Linked DNA regions of Drosophila melanogaster. The protein of the gene in region 1 interacts with the protein of each later gene in a pairwise test. Each region holds a gene or a part of one and is shown on either strand. Other genes may lie near its edges.

The links. Proteins that work in one complex are often made in the same cells at the same time.
Region 2: the proteins of eca (region 1) and CG5174 interact in a two-hybrid assay, tested with the Drosophila melanogaster proteins (one large-scale study listed by BioGRID).

The regions. Positions count from the first base shown.
Region 1 is NT_033777.3:9,681,868-9,689,036, reverse strand, and holds eca (eclair), read left to right. Parts: upstream 1-3,560; 5' UTR 3,561-3,657; coding exon 3,658-3,790; intron 3,791-3,852; coding exon 3,853-4,370; 3' UTR 4,371-4,568; downstream 4,569-7,169. Other genes in the region: Unc-115b (uncoordinated 115b), read left to right, coding at 184-323, 416-501, 1,270-1,336, 1,400-1,575; CG18542 (uncharacterized protein), read right to left, coding at 2,320-2,790, 2,848-3,003, 3,066-3,188; CG9444 (uncharacterized protein), read left to right, coding at 5,054-5,087, 5,156-5,389, 5,871-6,099, 6,159-6,433, 6,496-6,701, 6,762-7,067, 7,126-7,169. UniProt on the Drosophila melanogaster protein: Eca and bai are essential, though not redundant, for dorsoventral patterning of the embryo. Specifically required during early embryogenesis for the activity of maternal tkv, while the zygotic tkv is not affected. Involved in Golgi organization.
Region 2 is NT_033778.4:18,418,890-18,428,173, reverse strand, and holds CG5174 (uncharacterized protein), read right to left. Parts: upstream 5,243-9,284; 5' UTR 4,890-5,242; coding exon 4,439-4,889; intron 4,306-4,438; coding exon of another isoform or gene 4,303-4,305; intron 4,206-4,302; coding exon of another isoform or gene 4,167-4,205; intron 4,048-4,166; coding exon 3,923-4,047; intron 3,849-3,922; coding exon 3,688-3,848; intron 3,568-3,687; coding exon 3,508-3,567; intron 3,303-3,507; coding exon 3,098-3,302; intron 2,835-3,097; coding exon 2,727-2,834; 3' UTR 2,211-2,726; coding exon of another isoform or gene 2,169-2,210; 3' UTR 1,953-2,168; downstream 1-1,952. Other genes in the region: PIG-O (phosphatidylinositol glycan anchor biosynthesis class O), read right to left, coding at 1-286, 356-539, 597-1,240, 1,299-1,445; Dp1 (Dodeca-satellite-binding protein 1), read right to left, coding at 8,749-9,123, 9,209-9,284.

The sequences.
Region 1 (7,169 bases):
TGAAAATTGATCGTTATAAGAAAATTGAAAAATGTATCTTCTAGTTCGTGCTCGGTGTATTTTGCACTTGAAGAAATCTATTATTATTTGTTTTAAAAATAGAACGATAAGATAGCAAAACATATGGTTATAGTATATAGTATAGTGTAGTAATACTAATCCTATGACATCTTGATTACACAGATACGAATCGCCCATTGGAGCATCGCCATCGCGCAATCTGGACCACCAGAAGCCCTTCTACGAGGACGAGATGTTCGATCGCTCCACCAGCTACCGTGGCTCGCTTGGCAAATCGCTTGGAAACGCGCCCAGCTACAATGGTAATCCTCTAGAGAGCATTGTCCTAGTTTCGATTTTCAGGCAAATAGCGATTCGATACCGATATTATATATTAGCCCACTTACGTTTATAGCCATACATTCCTACCGATCGCCGCCCAAGCCCGGATACGGATTCAAAACGACGACTCTGCCCTATATACGCAATGGCTTCAGCTCCGTAAGTGCTGCCTGTTGCTCAGATCGGCATAGATCGCATCAGATCCGATCCGATCCGATCAGATCAGATTATATCCTTGGTGCCGGGCTGTCGGTTATGTAGCTTATAGCTTACCCACTACCACACGAACCTATCCGCTTATATGTAATCCCAAAATAGTTACGACGGTATTTGTTTCTTGTTTCTCTCACTTTCCAATGCCGCCACTGGTTTGCTCACCTGGATGAACTAACAACTGTTTCGCATATGTCTCAACTGGTTGGTCTGCTGCTTCATTGCGTGTCTGAAAACCCAATCCCACCCATCCACCCATCCTGCGCCACTCCTAACAACTATGTGTTTGCTATTGTTGCCCTGACACCTGACAACAAATAACTCAAAAAACTAACACCCATCCACACTTGACCAACTAAAACTCGAACATTTGCATCATGAACATATCAACATCACTTGAACACCATCAACATGTACATCTACATCCACATCTGCTCAGTGGTGAGTGCGCTGCGCCATGTGCCCAAGCCAGGATACGGGCTAGCACCACGCTCCCACACATTCAGCTCCACCACATCCGCTGCGGCCACGATGCATGGTGCCACTGTAAGACCGCTTTCGTTGTTGCTATGCCGTAGAGTCCTTTGAGTCCCCGTCTTGTGTTTGGATGCCCGTTGGTATCACCTGTAACTTGCACTGGTTTTTCGTTTATTATTGTTGCATGTGTCCCTCAATTTGATCAGAAAACTAATCCCATGCCCTTTTCGAAAACAGGACTTCTCCTATGGAGGACTGGGCGACAAGACCCACAGCACAGATTTGAGCTGCGGCAAATCGGAGGGTAAGTGAAATATATTTTGAAAACCCGGCTCGGCGAAAGAATAACATAATTCTCCTCTGGCAGCTTCTGTGGACTCGATCACCGAGGGCGATAGGCGAGCTCTGATGGGCGGCGACCTGCCCGCCTCGAGCACTTACTCAGGAGCACTCTCCTACCACTATCCGCAGGCCGGACTCATCCGGCGCAGTCTGCCCAACATGTCCCATTCGATAATTAGTTGCGCTAACGCAAAATTGTAACTGAGAACAACTATATGAAAGGAACATAAAATCCCAATAAAAAACGAAGTGTATACAGACAGATGATATATGAAATTAGTTAAACATTGCATGTCCCCGGCATGTAGGCTTTTTATACGCAGTGCTATGGCAATTTAAACGCAAACATAAACTGGACTCTTTTTCCAAATTACACCTTAATTCAACCATGTAACGGGCTACAGAACCGAGAAATGCATCAAAGAATAAGAAATTAATGTACCTACAGCAGAATCACACAGCAAAATGCGAAACATTAGATGTGTGGCATCAAATTTACGCTAAATCATTACGCAAATTTTATTTATTACTAAATATTTTATTTATTTATTTAAATAGAATATGTCAAAGAATAAACCAGAGATAATAAAACAGGACAAAAGCAGTGTCAACGTGTTTACAATTATTAAAACTTCGAGTGTGGAGATTATAAAGTTTCTTCTTAATCCTAGACGGAATTTACTCTTTGTCGAGCCGACAACGGCTAAAGTCTGTCGACATGCAGGAATGTTTGTGGAGTATTAGCTTACTATATATTGGCTAAACTGGCTTTAAACATTGTCGAATCGATAAAGAAACGCCATCAAGGGCATAATTCGGTGTGATTTGAGTTCGGGACGCAATATGTGACTGGAATGTAAAGTTCACAGAATAAATACGTAAATATTAAATAAGATTCCACAGAATCCATTTATCTATCATCTATATTGCACCATTGGTAACGCACTAGTTTTGCTTGTGCAAAGCTGCTCCGTCGGTACGTAACCCATAGGTCAGCTGGGTTTTCATCACTGCCAAACTGCTGCCAATGATCTTTTTGTGGTAGATCTGCCGCGTAACGAACCCAAAATCATCATAAAAGTCGCGCTCACTTTCCTGCCACTCGGAGATAGTGCACTCCAGTGAGGCGTACCCGCCGATAATGCAGTTCTTGACCACCAGTTTTATCATGGGGTCCATGATCGTCTGACACGGGTAATGGGGATCGATGGCAAAGCGATAGATCCATGCAGCATTGTATACGGCGTGGTGATTCTTCACACTAATAGCGGCCACAATCCTGCGCCGGAATTTCCTCGTGTATGTTTCCTCGTATGGACAGTTCTCGGTAAATATCTGGTAGCTAGCTTCCTTCGGTGAGCAGCGGAAAATGAAGGGTTCATAGCACTCGGCCACCAAAGACTGCGATGGTTTGGTCTGGAAAGTAAACGTTCTTAGTTTGAGATACTTTGCTGCCGATGCTTTAACACTTACCCTCATCAACTCCACTGCCTTGGAGTAAAACGAGAAGTAGGTGCCGGTAAATAGGCAAAATATGCAAGCGGGCACAGTGAGTGCACAAAAAAGCAGGGGCACTCCCAGAAATATGAAGAATATGGCCCACGTGATGACTATGAACTGCAGGGTGATCTGAAAAAAGTTGAAATCCAAATAGTTCATAGAGTTTGGGGATCTAGATAAAGATGTCTCACCTCTCGAAAGCAATAGACAAAAAAGGACTTATTCGAGAACGACATGATGTAGTCCCGCACCAGCTCCTGGCACTTGAGCTCATCATCTTGCGTGTAGTTGCGAATGACAATAAATGGCTGCATTAATGTGTTATTAAATTATTAGATAAGCCGAACCAAAAAAAAATAAAAACACCGATCAATCAGTGTGTCCAAAGCGATGCAAAATCCACTACTTCTTATGGCAAAACAGCTGTTGCTGCGGTGTTGCCACTCGAGACAGATATCGGCAAAGAGAACTCAAGACTGATAGCGTGAGAATAACTATCGCAAGAAGTTTATTTATTAGATATAATATTTTACAATGTTTGAAAATTAGTCTTCAACTCTTATTTTTTAAATGTACACCTGTTTGAATAACTATTTTAATTTATCGTTTGTTCCATTTATTTAAAAGAATCGCTTTCGTGAGCTTGCCGTGAGCTAGCCCAATCACGGTGCCATCTCTCATGCCAAACACTCTGACTTTGATCTGGCACTTTTTCTCATGACGTGTCGGCGAGCTTAACTTTATTAAAGAACTACTCGAAAAAGTCACTGCAAATAGCCGAAAATGCGCGACCAATTCATCAGCCTGGCCCTGATTCTGTGCGTCCTGCACAGCGCCTGCGGCTTGTACTTCCACATATCGGAGACGGAGCGCAAGTGCTTCATCGAGGAGGTTCCCGACGAGACAACTGTGATTGGTGAGCCAGAGCCTAGTGCCAACTTGGAAGTTTTACCAATCGACTAACTTGTCCTCCTGCAGTTAACTACAAGGTAGAGCTGTATGATCCGCGCTCTAATGGATTCATGCCCTCGTCGCCCGGAATCGGCATGCATGTGGAAGTACGCGACAGCGACGACAAGATTGTGCTGTCCCGCGTGTACAGCTCACAGGGCCGCATCTCGTTCACCTCGCACACTCCTGGCGAGCACGTCATCTGCATGTTCTCGAACAGCACCGCGTGGTTCAGTGGTGCCCAGCTGCGTGTTCACCTGGACATCCAGGTGGGAGAGCACGCTATCGACTACGCCCATGTGGCGCAGAAGGAGAAACTGACTGAGCTGCAGCTGCGCATCCGCCAGCTACTTGACCAGGTGGAGCAGATCACCAAGGAGCAGAACTACCAGCGATACCGCGAGGAGCGGTTCCGTCACACCAGCGAGAGCACCAACTCCCGCGTGCTCTGGTGGTCGCTGGCCCAGACCGTCGTCTTGGTTTGCATGGGCTTCTGGCAGATGCGTCATCTCAAGAGCTTCTTTGAGGCCAAGAAACTGGTGTGAGGTGCTCCGGGGCTAGGGCATCATCAGCACCACTGGCCAACCACTGGCCTCATTGTTCCGTGTGTTTCCCTCATTTGGCAGGAATTGCGAATTTCATCGATGGATCGTCATCCACCCAACCAGCCACTGGCCTCGACTCCAAGCACTTCTAGTTGTAATTTCTTGTGCGTAATTTAATAAAATCCATTGTACAAAACGAGACCGAGACTGTGTGCACCCCCACATCCTATCTTCGCTGGGTCAGACTGCCAGTCAGCTGAGCCGAGTCCCGTGACTATGTTTGCCTCACCAAGCGTGGCTTGTTCTTATCAGTAGGCTGTGACAGATAACCTGTGTCGTTGGCGTTAACTCCCTAGTTTTAAGACCGCGGTCCATCGTAACTGCATCGAGCAGCATCGTGTCGTGACTGCCCTTTATCTCATTGTTTGTTCTGTCGGAGAAGAGACTTTTTAGTAGCTCTTGGACCGCCCCGAGCAGCGGTCGTCAGTCGCGGCACAAATCCGACGTCCAAAACAATACAGCTTGTTGTGGCACACCAAACGCGAACGCTTACGACCCACAAAAGCCGCAGCTCTGTAACCCGATCCAGTCTGAAGCGCTTTCAAGTCAACAACTGGCCTAGGTCTCTGCTCCCTCTCCGGTTCAGTTGGTCTACGTCGGATTAGGCGTGCAGGCTGTTGAAAATGTTTCGCGCTACGGAAATCGGCAGCGAAGAAAGTGAGTCTGCAGCTAGATAAGATAAGACAAGAAGCGCAGGTAATCCTCTCTCTCCCTATTACATGTAGCCCTGCCAGCTCTGGCGGAGCTCAGCCAGGTGGGTTATGAACGCGATGCACGGGACGTGGAGTGGGTCGCCTGGAGAGGAGAACGGGCCCAATTGAAGCTGGCGCATCGCAGCTCCCTGCCCAATTATGGATTTGCTCCACCGACCATCCGCATGAAGTATAGGTATCCACGAGCCGTCTTCTTCGTTCTGGCCACAAAATTTTTTGAGGCCTTTGCTGCCAACGGCATTCGCAGTAAGTTTCCAGATTTCCATCCAAAAGCAGATAATCGATTTTTGGTCAGGTCAAAGGCATTCGTCGGCAAAGTCTGGTTGAAAAATTCCGAAACCAGGCTTATCAGCGGCACAGAAATATAAACACAAGGAGGTCTTATTGACAGTCAAAAGACCTGTGATGGTGCATAATATAAGAGGCATAGATAAGATGAAAATTTAGGTTGCAATTGGCAAATAATGGGCAGGAACAAGACCTAGCATTTAGTTACTTAAAAAGAAAATCTTCAAAAATAAGATAACTGACTCAAGATTATTATTATTGTTAATTAAAACTCCTGGAATTTTCCCATTGATGTGAATCTTAAAAAGAACATCCATCATTAAAGAGATGGCTTAACGAATTTCCAATTAAGTCTCAATGCTACAACCTTTATTTCATGGTCAATAATTCGAGATTGACTGCAGCCTGACCCACGATTACGATGTATACTCGATTCCAGCCGTACTCGCACTCTATCTGCGCGACGATCTCAACTTCACGGAGAGCTTTTCCACGGTGGTGCTGCACATCTTCAACTTTTTTGGCCAGTTCTGTCCGATCATTGGGGCGATCCTAGCGGATAGCTACATCGGCAATGTGCGCACGATATCCGGCTTCAGTTTTATCTACGCCTTTGGATGGTTACTCCTCACACTGACATCCCTGCCTGCCATGGGTCTTCCGATGGTGTAAGTACTCGCAACGGATTAGGATGAAGGATTTAGCTTATTCCACTTGCGACTCGTAGCTTGCTGGTGTCCATCGCTCTGCTGTTTATCGCCGTTGGCAATGGATCGATACGAGCCTGCATCACCTCGCTGGGCGCACTGCAGTTCAAGCTGCCGGAGCAGAGCGTCCATCTGGCCGAGTACTTCTCCTTCTACTATTTCGTCTACTATTTTGGAATATTCCTGAGCAAGATCCTTCCGCCGCTGGTTAGAGCTAACACGCAGTGCTTTGACAAGGCGGAATGCTATCCAGCCGTATTCGGCACCCTTGGCGCAGCCTTTATGATGGCCTGGTGTAAGTAACTATCAGTTTTCATAGCTTATTTCTATTTAATTTACGCATGCTTGTGGTATTAGTTATCTTTCTGGTTGGAAAATGGTTCTACAAGTCCGAAAAGCTGTCCGATGACAACATACTCTTCAAGTTCTGCGGCTGCATAAAGACCGCTCTCGTGGAGAAGTGGCGACGTCGCAAGTCGACAAAGCGCTCCAACTACTGGCTACACAATGCAGTTGTAGCCTACGACATGGGTTTCGTCAATGATGTGTCCAGAGTTTTGAGGGTCAGTTATACTTGTGTTATAATGAAGATTCTTTCAACTTCATAATTTCGTTTCTTTTAGATATCCAAGCTGTTTATCCCACTGCCCTTCTACTTTGCTCTGCTGGCGCAACAGGATTCCAGCTGGACATTCCAGGCCACCCAGATGAATACCACATTAATGGGCGTGACCATCCAGCCGGATCAGGCCAAGGCCGTGGGACCCATCTTTCTGTTCATGCTCATCCCTCTATGGCAGTATATAACAGTGCCCTTGCTGCGCCGCTACTTCAACTGGGAGCTCCAGCCGCTCCATAGTGTGACTGTGGGTGGGATCTTCTCCGCCGGCGCCTTTTTCTGTGCAGGAGCCTTGCAGGAACGAATAAAGGTAAGCAGGAATAATAAGATACCTCACCTGATCGTTTATTAACCCGAAATATTCGAAGAATTCCCCGCCCCAAACAGTGAATATAGCTTGGCAACTGCCCCA
Region 2 (9,284 bases), on another chromosome or scaffold:
AAGCAACCTCGTTGTAAACGGTTTGCACTCGGTGGGTGAGGAGTATGAATTCAGTCTCTAGATGGTCCATCTGTTCCACGTTGAATGTGCGCTTGTTCTCCAAAGCGTACTGGAAGAAGTAGCGATAGATCTGCTGGGCATTCTGCCAGGAATGAAGCAAAAGGGTCTGAAACTTGTTTAAATGCGGTACTCGCAGATCGGGTACAATGTTGAAGTTGACCAGGCCTAGATTGGAGTACGGTATTGGGACGCCGAGAATGGTGGCCAGCGTGGGTACCAGATCAATCTGGAAAGCAAATATCGTTGCTTATCACTGTGACGTGACGCGCCGTGATTAAACGTTGTCTTATCTCACCTGCTGCAGCATTTCGCTATCTGAGCCCGAATCATTGCCATAAAATCTGTGCTGCTTGGAGTAGGCAAACAGCAGAGCGTTGGTTTCGTCATCGGTGTCTCCCCCATGATCGCCGGAAGCCGTCATTCCATGGTCGCCCATCACCAGCAGCGTGGTGTCGTTGTCCATGGCCGCCACCACGGATCTAAATGAATGATGGACATGATGATATGCGGTTACCAATAAATGTGATGCCGCCTACCTTATCACCTCGTTCATCTCGCCCAATTTGCGCGCCATTTCCTCGTGCATGGGTCCGTGTTTGTGTCCGCAGTGGTCGACGCCGAGAAAATGGGCTACCAGCACTTGCCAATCCTTACTTTCCAGCTCCTTGGGCAGGTGTTTTAATATCTCATTATCCACGCTATCCAAATCGAATATATCGAAACTGGGATAGGAGTACGATCGTTTGAAGCGATGAGGATACAGATCCGTCCAGGTGCTATCCCCCAGGAAGACAACTGGTAGATCGTTCTTGACTATTTGATCAATGATATTATCCTCGTTGATCTCCGGTGAGGCAAAATTGGAGCCAATGTCTATGAATGTGGGAAGGCTGCCGGTGGTGAGTCCTTTCAGGCGCTGTAACGTTGTGGTTGGCGGATCCGCTCGGAATCTCATTAGGCGGGCGTGGTCAGGATTCTGCTGCAGCAGCTCCTGGAGCACCACCAATTTGTTTTCATATGGCAAAGGATCCGTAGCATTCGCCCTGTACAGGCCAAATTCATATTTAAGTGCATCCACAACCAGGACAATAACCTTCGACTTTTGCGGAAGACACAGATTGGAGGAGGCGTTGACATCCTTAAAGATTTCGTTCACAACCTCATCGGTGAGTACGTACTCCTGTTTGAGGACAAAGGATTTGAAATGCATCCCATTTCGTTCATTACCTAGTACTTACAGCATTGGGATTTGTGGACAACCTGCGACAGGTGCTCGTCTCCGTTTTGGACACCCGGGCCAATAGGAATCCCCGCGAGAAGAGCATCACGCCGCTGCTGATGAGGAAGGCCAGCCAAATAAGCACGAACAAGTACGTCAAGTTCATCTTTCGGCTGCGATTAATTAACTAACTAGGCACACAAATGCTTAATGAGTAATAAACTTTTTAGCATTTAGAACAATGCTGGTGTAGGCGAATACTTTATGCGGCTGGCCAGCCGCTTTCAGTTGTATAAAACTATGTAATTTAATTGCACTTTACTTCGGAGTGGTTGATTAGGTTTCCGGCATCACGATGCGTTCTGTTTGCTCGCTGTTTTCATTTAAAATTCCTCATATCTAAAGATTTTCTTGTGGCCTGAAGAAAAAATTGAGAAGTATGCAAGAACCCTCTATGGCGTTGCCACCTCGTCAAAGCAAACAGCTGTTTTACGTTGATCCCTGGGTTAAATCAGAGTTGTCAACTTTATTATAATTTTTGGCGGGATATTTAAAGCTGACAGATGAAATTGGAAATTAACTTTTTTTAATTCATTAGCTGTAGTTTAAGTTTGAAAAGGTAATCACACATATACTCCCAAACATCATTTATCAAAAAGACATCGCTATTTTTATGGGGCAAAAATTTTTGCATTTATTCAAAGATTTCATACACATATAGCAAATTTGATCAGCATTAGCAACAAATTGGGTGCGATTTCGTCTCTTTCTCAATCTTCAGCAGTACGGACTACATCCACTTAAGTTTACCAATGGATTTTCGTTATTTGCACGCAAGCTCTGATCGTAACACAAATATTTAGTACTAAATAAATTTGGAATTGGCTTTTCAACGGATTAGGGAACGCCATCTAACCACGGAACTCAACGCCTAGAGAAGAAATAAAAGCGTAAAACAAATGTATATTCACTTTAACCGCAATGCATGATTTTCTAATGTTTTTACTAAGTATTAGAAACATTTGGGAATGACATCGGGTGGACCATCCAATGTGGTTTAGTCTTTAAACGTACACTTAGATTGATAGTTATATAAACGAATGCAGCAAGCCCTTGGATCTTCGATCCTCCGTGGCTTTAAATTTAAACAAGTCATGCAATTTGATGGTGTCTCCAAGGCAAATACAAATAGATGCATATAATATGTGCTCCCATTGGCAAATTTTTGACGCGCAGATTTTAGTTATATTAAGTATTATATAAACCGTATCGACACAGGTGTACATATGATTTCTGGTTAAATTAATTCTGATCCTGTTGTTAGTGCGCAGACACGACAATTCGCTTTAGTTAAATAAGTTAATAGAGTGGGTGCGTGGGTCTGTTTGTATGTAGTATAGGTTGCTCCACATTATCGACGCGCTTGGCCTTGCAGTTGCCCCGAAATCTATTTCGGGAGTGAGTCTGTGGGTGAATTCAGACCCGAGGATGTGTTATTCTCGTCCAGGGCATCTGGGAAACTGGACACCGAACCCGAGCGGGATGTCACCTTGGTCTACAATAGAACAGAAAACCGAACAGATTGTAGTAGAGGTGCAGTAGCATTTGCGCAAGGAGTAGTTCGTTGTGTAAGCAAGCAAATCAACCGAAGTATCCCAATTCAGAGTGCGTTTATAGTGGGTGAGCAAGTGTGAAAGATGTGTGGTTAGTGTTAGTTAGTTGGTTAGTTAGTGGCTAGTTAGTTAGACGGGAACCAAAACAGAATCGCAACAGTATGAGAGATGTGTAAAGACAGATATATAATAAAATAGTAGTTACCGCATGAGATTGGCACATAAAATTGTTGTGTTCATAGCTTACTTTAACGTTCTCGTAGGCAGAGCCCACCGAAGCCTCGATAGAACGCATCGATTCGGAGTTTTTCATTTGCGACAGTTTCGACGAAATGCCACTGGTGATGCTGCCAAACACCGAGGCGGTCTTCTCGCCCGTGGACTTTAGCACCGACTCAGTGCGTTGGTATCTAGGGGAGAGTACAAATAAATCCAACATTAGTTACTCATCTCGATAGTTTTCCTCCATACACAAAGTGGGCAAACATAGGTGCGCTTTAGTTACAAACAGGCGAGAGTTGGTTATTGTGTTAAAGGAAGTGGCGTGAAACACGGCGTTAGTCCGGTAACTCCAAAAGTACCCAATTAAAAATCAGCCTGAACCCAATTACTTACAGTGGTGCCTCGTACACCGTTTTAGTAAACGTGCCCACGCTCTGCTCCACCGATTGGTAACTAAATAAATACACGTTATAGCGTTTCAACAGGAGTTTGAAACAAAAAGCATGGTTAGAAATTAAAACTGTCTAGTCGGGTTAATTGCCCAGCAGAACTGCGAACGGTTCATAGACTTACACAGTGCTCTCCTTGAGGTTCTTAAGGCCCTGGTTCACGTCGTCCGTCACCTCCTTCCAGACGGTGATGCCCAGCTTGCGCTTGAGATCGGAGGCATGGCGCGTCTTGGAGGCTAGGACAGTTCGCAGCGTATTGATCTCTTCCTCAACGCGGGCGAGCTCCTGGAAATTGAAGTAGAAGTTAGCGTTCGAGCTGAGTAATCAAATTATGATCGTAAAACTGAAAACTTCCTTACCTGACTCCACTCAGCCCGACGCTGCTCCTTCTCCTCGACGGAAAGCGCAGCGAACTCGGCGGCAATTTCTGCGGATGCCACAGAATTAGCTGGAGATGCTGGCTCCGACAGGTTGGCTGTATTATCTGAACATGAAATAAAAAGCCATTAAATATATGCCAATCCAAGGGAACATTAAAACTTGGGGTGCTGTGTGGGGACTGTAGCTTAATTTCAATGTTGTCGGCGGGTAGTGTTTAAGTACCTCCTTTGAAAGCAACTTCCTCAAAGACTTTGTCATAGGCTGAATACACCGAATTTAGTTGTATATACGAGTATGTACAATTTGCAAAGACATGAGTTGGTTAATTGGTTAGATCTGGGTTTTTGTTAATACTCACAAACTGACGAGGCGAAAGGCAGGCAAAGGAGAAAGAAACAGAGAAGTTAGTCTGGTTAGTCATGGTTGAAAGTGGAAAAGCGAATGCCACAGAACAAAGACCCGACCTAAGCCCACCAACCCCCCTCCCCACTGACCGAATTTGGTACCTCTACTTCTATGCCCAATGTTGAGGAATCTCTTGTAGTTATCACTGTTTGATATTTTGGCCAGATACGGTTTGGAGAAGTCTATGAACGTGACCTTAACGTCGCGCATGGTTCGCTTGGCAAAGAACTTCAAGCGGAAGCGTTTGGCCATCGAAGACGATGGCGCTTGATTGGCCAACTTGGCGGCAATGAAGTCCGCCTCCACTGCCTGCAATTCCAGGCTGTTGGTGTAGTCCGAATCCACATCGTAGAATATCTGGTCTAGCGTCAGATTACGCAAATATAGCTCAGCCTCGCTCTCCTCCTGCCCATCGCCATACCAGTCCAAGACGGCATCATTGGTTTCCAGATCCAGTGACGGTGTGCTGGTGAGATCATCAATGCTTGGCAGATAGGGGTCTTCAATGAACTCCAGGCTATTCGGTTCCGATTCGCTCATTCTGTGGCAATAGCGGCGCTCTCTTTCATCTTTGGCAGCAACTTTCTATTTTGAACGTGGCAGCTGCTGGCGCAGGAGGCTCATATTGTCTTGGCCCAATCCTAAGCACATATCACGTTTCCACGGTCAGCAGCGAGCACATTTTTCTTGGCCCTGCTTTCAGCCACTTCGATCGTTCTTTGCTGAGCTTTCAGTTCTTGGCCCGCCGCGTTCCACATAAATTCCTCTCCCCATGCGATCGCAGCTGGTTTGTGGTGGTTCTTCTGTTTCTGTTTCGATTTCAGTTTCGTTTTCGCTTTCGATTCTGGGCCTGCTCCATCCACGCTCGTCTACAGCCAAATGCCAACTGACTCGATCTCGGCTTAGAAATTGGTAGATGTGGATTGGTTGGCCGCTTGGCTCCGCTTGTTGATGATTCGTGTCAGCACGAAGACGAGAAATGCCACAAGAAGAGCGCTAAACAAAAGGGGCAGCAACAGGCAGCAGCAGCAGTAGCAACCAGCAAGACTACAGTAGAGCTTGACTAAAAGTTACAGCTACGTAAATACATTAGCTCTATAGTAACCAACTTTACACTTCATTTAATTTATAAATTAATAAGCATGGGAAAGTTATAAAGCTAATAATATTTGCATAAATAATAAGTACGCTTTGATAAGACACTAGATATACATATATGTGTCTAATTTAATTGCAGCTAAAATGATTATTTTATCAGTCAAAAAGCTTTGATAAACCGAGACTTCAATTTATTAATTGAATAATATTCTTCTTTAATTGTACCTTTTAAATTTATTAAGTAAACAATTGTGAGGAGATGAACAACTTTAAAAATTGAAAAACCCTATGATAAGGAACTTTAAATATAACTATAAATAAAGTTTTTCTTTGCAAAAACGTACTGTACATAACTGTATCGCTTTGTTGGAGCCAAACAAAAAAAGGAAAATAATTCATAATTTAGCTTCTTGCTAAATAGCAATTACCAGTTTGGATTTTTCCGATTTTTCCCAGCTTCCTCCGACCATCAAGCACTGTATGAGCACAAAGCCACTGTGCCACATTGATGGACCCTATATCTACACTATATATATATATATATATATATGTGAGCTAGTTCTGGTTTGCTGCGAGTTCTTGCTGCTCAGAAGTGCCTGTTGTTGTGGCAGGCCCAATCCCATCGAGAAGTCAACAAGTGGAAGCCAATTACTAAGTGGTTTCGGTGGGGGAACAGAGCTCCGAACAATTATAGTGGCACCATGGTGATAAGCTCAGTGGGAGGAGGCGTTTTCAGATGATATGCATATCATAGCCGCCCTGCGGATGTTGCGCTTCTAAAAGCCACGTATGCATGGACGTCGGAAACCGAGAATGCAATACTTACACCACAAAGAACCTGACCCCCGCCCACCAAACGGATTGCCATCGATGGCATGTCGCAGAACTTCCACGGTAATCCGAATAGTTGGAAAGCCTTTCACCCTACGCAAATCGGAACCATGACTCATCTGCTGATTCCCAGCGCACCAAGGTTAACTCATTGTGTATTCTAAGTCCCCCAAAACTTTTGGCAAAGCCGCTGCTGAATCAGAGTCCTACAATAGTAATGATACCCGAATTACCCGAAAGGTCTTAGGTGTCCCAATCGCCCAGGTCACAAGAGCCCACGGAAACATGTGCCGCTGCATTGGAATTGCAATGATGCACTGCGTCCGTATGCCACACACTTACGGTCCTCCATTACGGCGTTGTCTCCGGAAGTCTGCGGCAATTTTGTTAACTATTTCGATGCCAACTGCACGCACTTGTCGCAAAACTTTCAAGTTGAAAATAATTTTTTGTTTCGCTTGCTTAGCTATCGATGGTTGCTAAAATAAATCGAAGGAATGTCACTATCGATAGCAGCTTTCGGTCAAAAATTCCATCTCTCGTGCACATAACTACACACAAAAAATTCACAAAATCGCTTAAGTAAATACGTAATGCGTAATAAACGTTCAAACAACAGAAATGGGTCAAATTTTACTCACTAAAAGCTCCAATCTTCGTTATCGATTGTAATTAAACTTGTTGCAGCTCGGTGAGAAACTAAGTTAGTTATCGACGCTGTGACACCACTACCTAGAGCTGCCAGATCGCGCCTTTATTCAAACAGAAAAGTTTCGGTTTAAAACTTTTGTATTTCAAAAGAAATAAGACATACGGTTGTATCTGCTATATCTGGGTTGAAAATTATAGTTAGAAATCGAATTGTTAATGAAAATATTTTGTTTTGCAGACAGCAATTGCCATTTGGCCGTCGACTCTTACATTTGATTTTGTCCGTTAATATAGGAAAATATATACATTTGATATAGTTTGTATTTTTACGTTCTTAGAATTACTAATGCAGTTGTTGTAAATATGTATGTATATTTTTAAAAATTTACAATATCAGGTCTGTTATTCTTGGTGTTATCATATTTTTTTTTAACAGAAGCAATCGAAATACTAAACAAACGTGAAACAAAATAAAAATGTTGCAAAAAAAAAGCAAAAAATTCGTTTACGATTTTTATTGGTTTTATATGGTTTTTTGTTTTTATTGAATAGTAATAGTAAAAAATTAATAATTTTTCTTATACTTTGTGTTTCAACTGTCAGATATTGCGCGGTGTAGAGTTGAGAAAACTGAAAAACCATCACCCGATACTCGTACAAAGTACTGGAAGAGTTCCAAATCTTTTACTTGCTTTTGACAATTTACACCGCGGCGCAAAGAAAATTATTTAAGTGGAAAATATAAGTCGAAAACAATTTAATATAAATCAAGGGGATTGCACAAAATTAAAATGTCGATACTCATTTTGAAATGTGAACAGAGTCGGTGTGTGTGTGTGTGTGTTTTTCGGGTTCTGTATCATGGCTGTGTGTATGGTAGAACGCTAGAGGATTAGGGAGTAGGAGTAGGAGCAGGCGTGCGGGTAATATAGTTATTAAATTTAGGTAAGGTTTATATTTGCTGTTCAAATAAATCGCCATCTCCACTTCCACTCTCGCCCCGCAACGTAAGAAACGTTTGTACAATACAATCAACGTTCATTTAACATTTACTTTCGCATAAATCATAATAATCATCACTTAATTGGGAAGGGTTTAAATGGAAATTCCGAATACGAAAATTGAGTATGGTGTAATCAAAACGGGGGGTAGATAGAAGGTAAATGTAAATAATTAACATTTTATGCTTAAAATTACATTCGTTCTTGAACGTGCTTCGCTAGTCAGTTTTAATTCAATTAACAAACCATTTTGCTGAACTTTCTGCTTACTTTTAGGGAGCTTCAACTAATTAGAATATTATGTGTTGCAATGAAGAATGGTTATATAAAAAGAAATTGGCAATTAAGTGTTTTTTATATATAAAGTGGCCGGGGTTTGGCCAACACATCGGGGAACGGAACTGAAGGCGTGGTCAATTGTCTGTTTCGATTCTCGTATTCTATATGTTGTATAAATGCAATTTCATATGTGTGAGCATGTGTATGTGCCGTTGTGTGTGAGTGTGGGTTTTTGTGTGTTTGATTGATCCTGTATCAAATCATACAAAAATAGTCGTTTTCTATTAACCTGCACAAATTGCGTTGTAGAAAAGCTCCTGGGAGACAACCTATACCATTATTTTTGACACTAGTTTTCGACTAAAGAGATGTCCGCACGACTGCCGCTGCTCTGCCGCTCATTGCCCGATAATCCAATTCAAGTTCCAGTTCCAGCTTCTGCTCCAGCTCCTGGTCCATCTCCAGCTCCGATCCCCGGCGCACCCCGACTTGTAGTATTGCTGCTACTGCTGGCGATCGGGACACTCGGCCCGATGCACTTAGTTTTTGGGGCCCCACACGGAGGTGATAGGCGTGGAGGCCACCGGAGCCCCGCCAGCAGCGAAGTGCGGGAAGTCCTCCTGCGACTGAGTGTTGGGCGCAGTCAGGTTTTTGGCCTGCTTTTGCTTCTCCCACGGTGCGTCTTTGATGACGAATCCGTTCTCGCTGGCACCTGCGGCATCGGATCCAGAACCCTGACCAGTTAGGAAGGCACCAATCGTTGGCGGCGCTATCGCCACGTTATCCAAGTAGTCACGCTCGTAGTCCTCAGCCATGCCGAAGAGCAACTCCTTGACGTTCTCAACGTCCTCTATCTTGCCACTGATGAAGATCGAATTGGGGTTGTCATCATCAGCTGAGAACTTGATGTTCACCTGATGGCATTAATGGTTTATTGGTTAATACAGAAATTAAATCCATTAAAGCAATATCTTGAATTAAATTTTCAGGGAAACATACCTTATTATCCTCGATGATCTTGCGAATGGTGCGTCGGCGTTGGCCAATGAGGTGGGGGTGGATGCGTTTATCGATC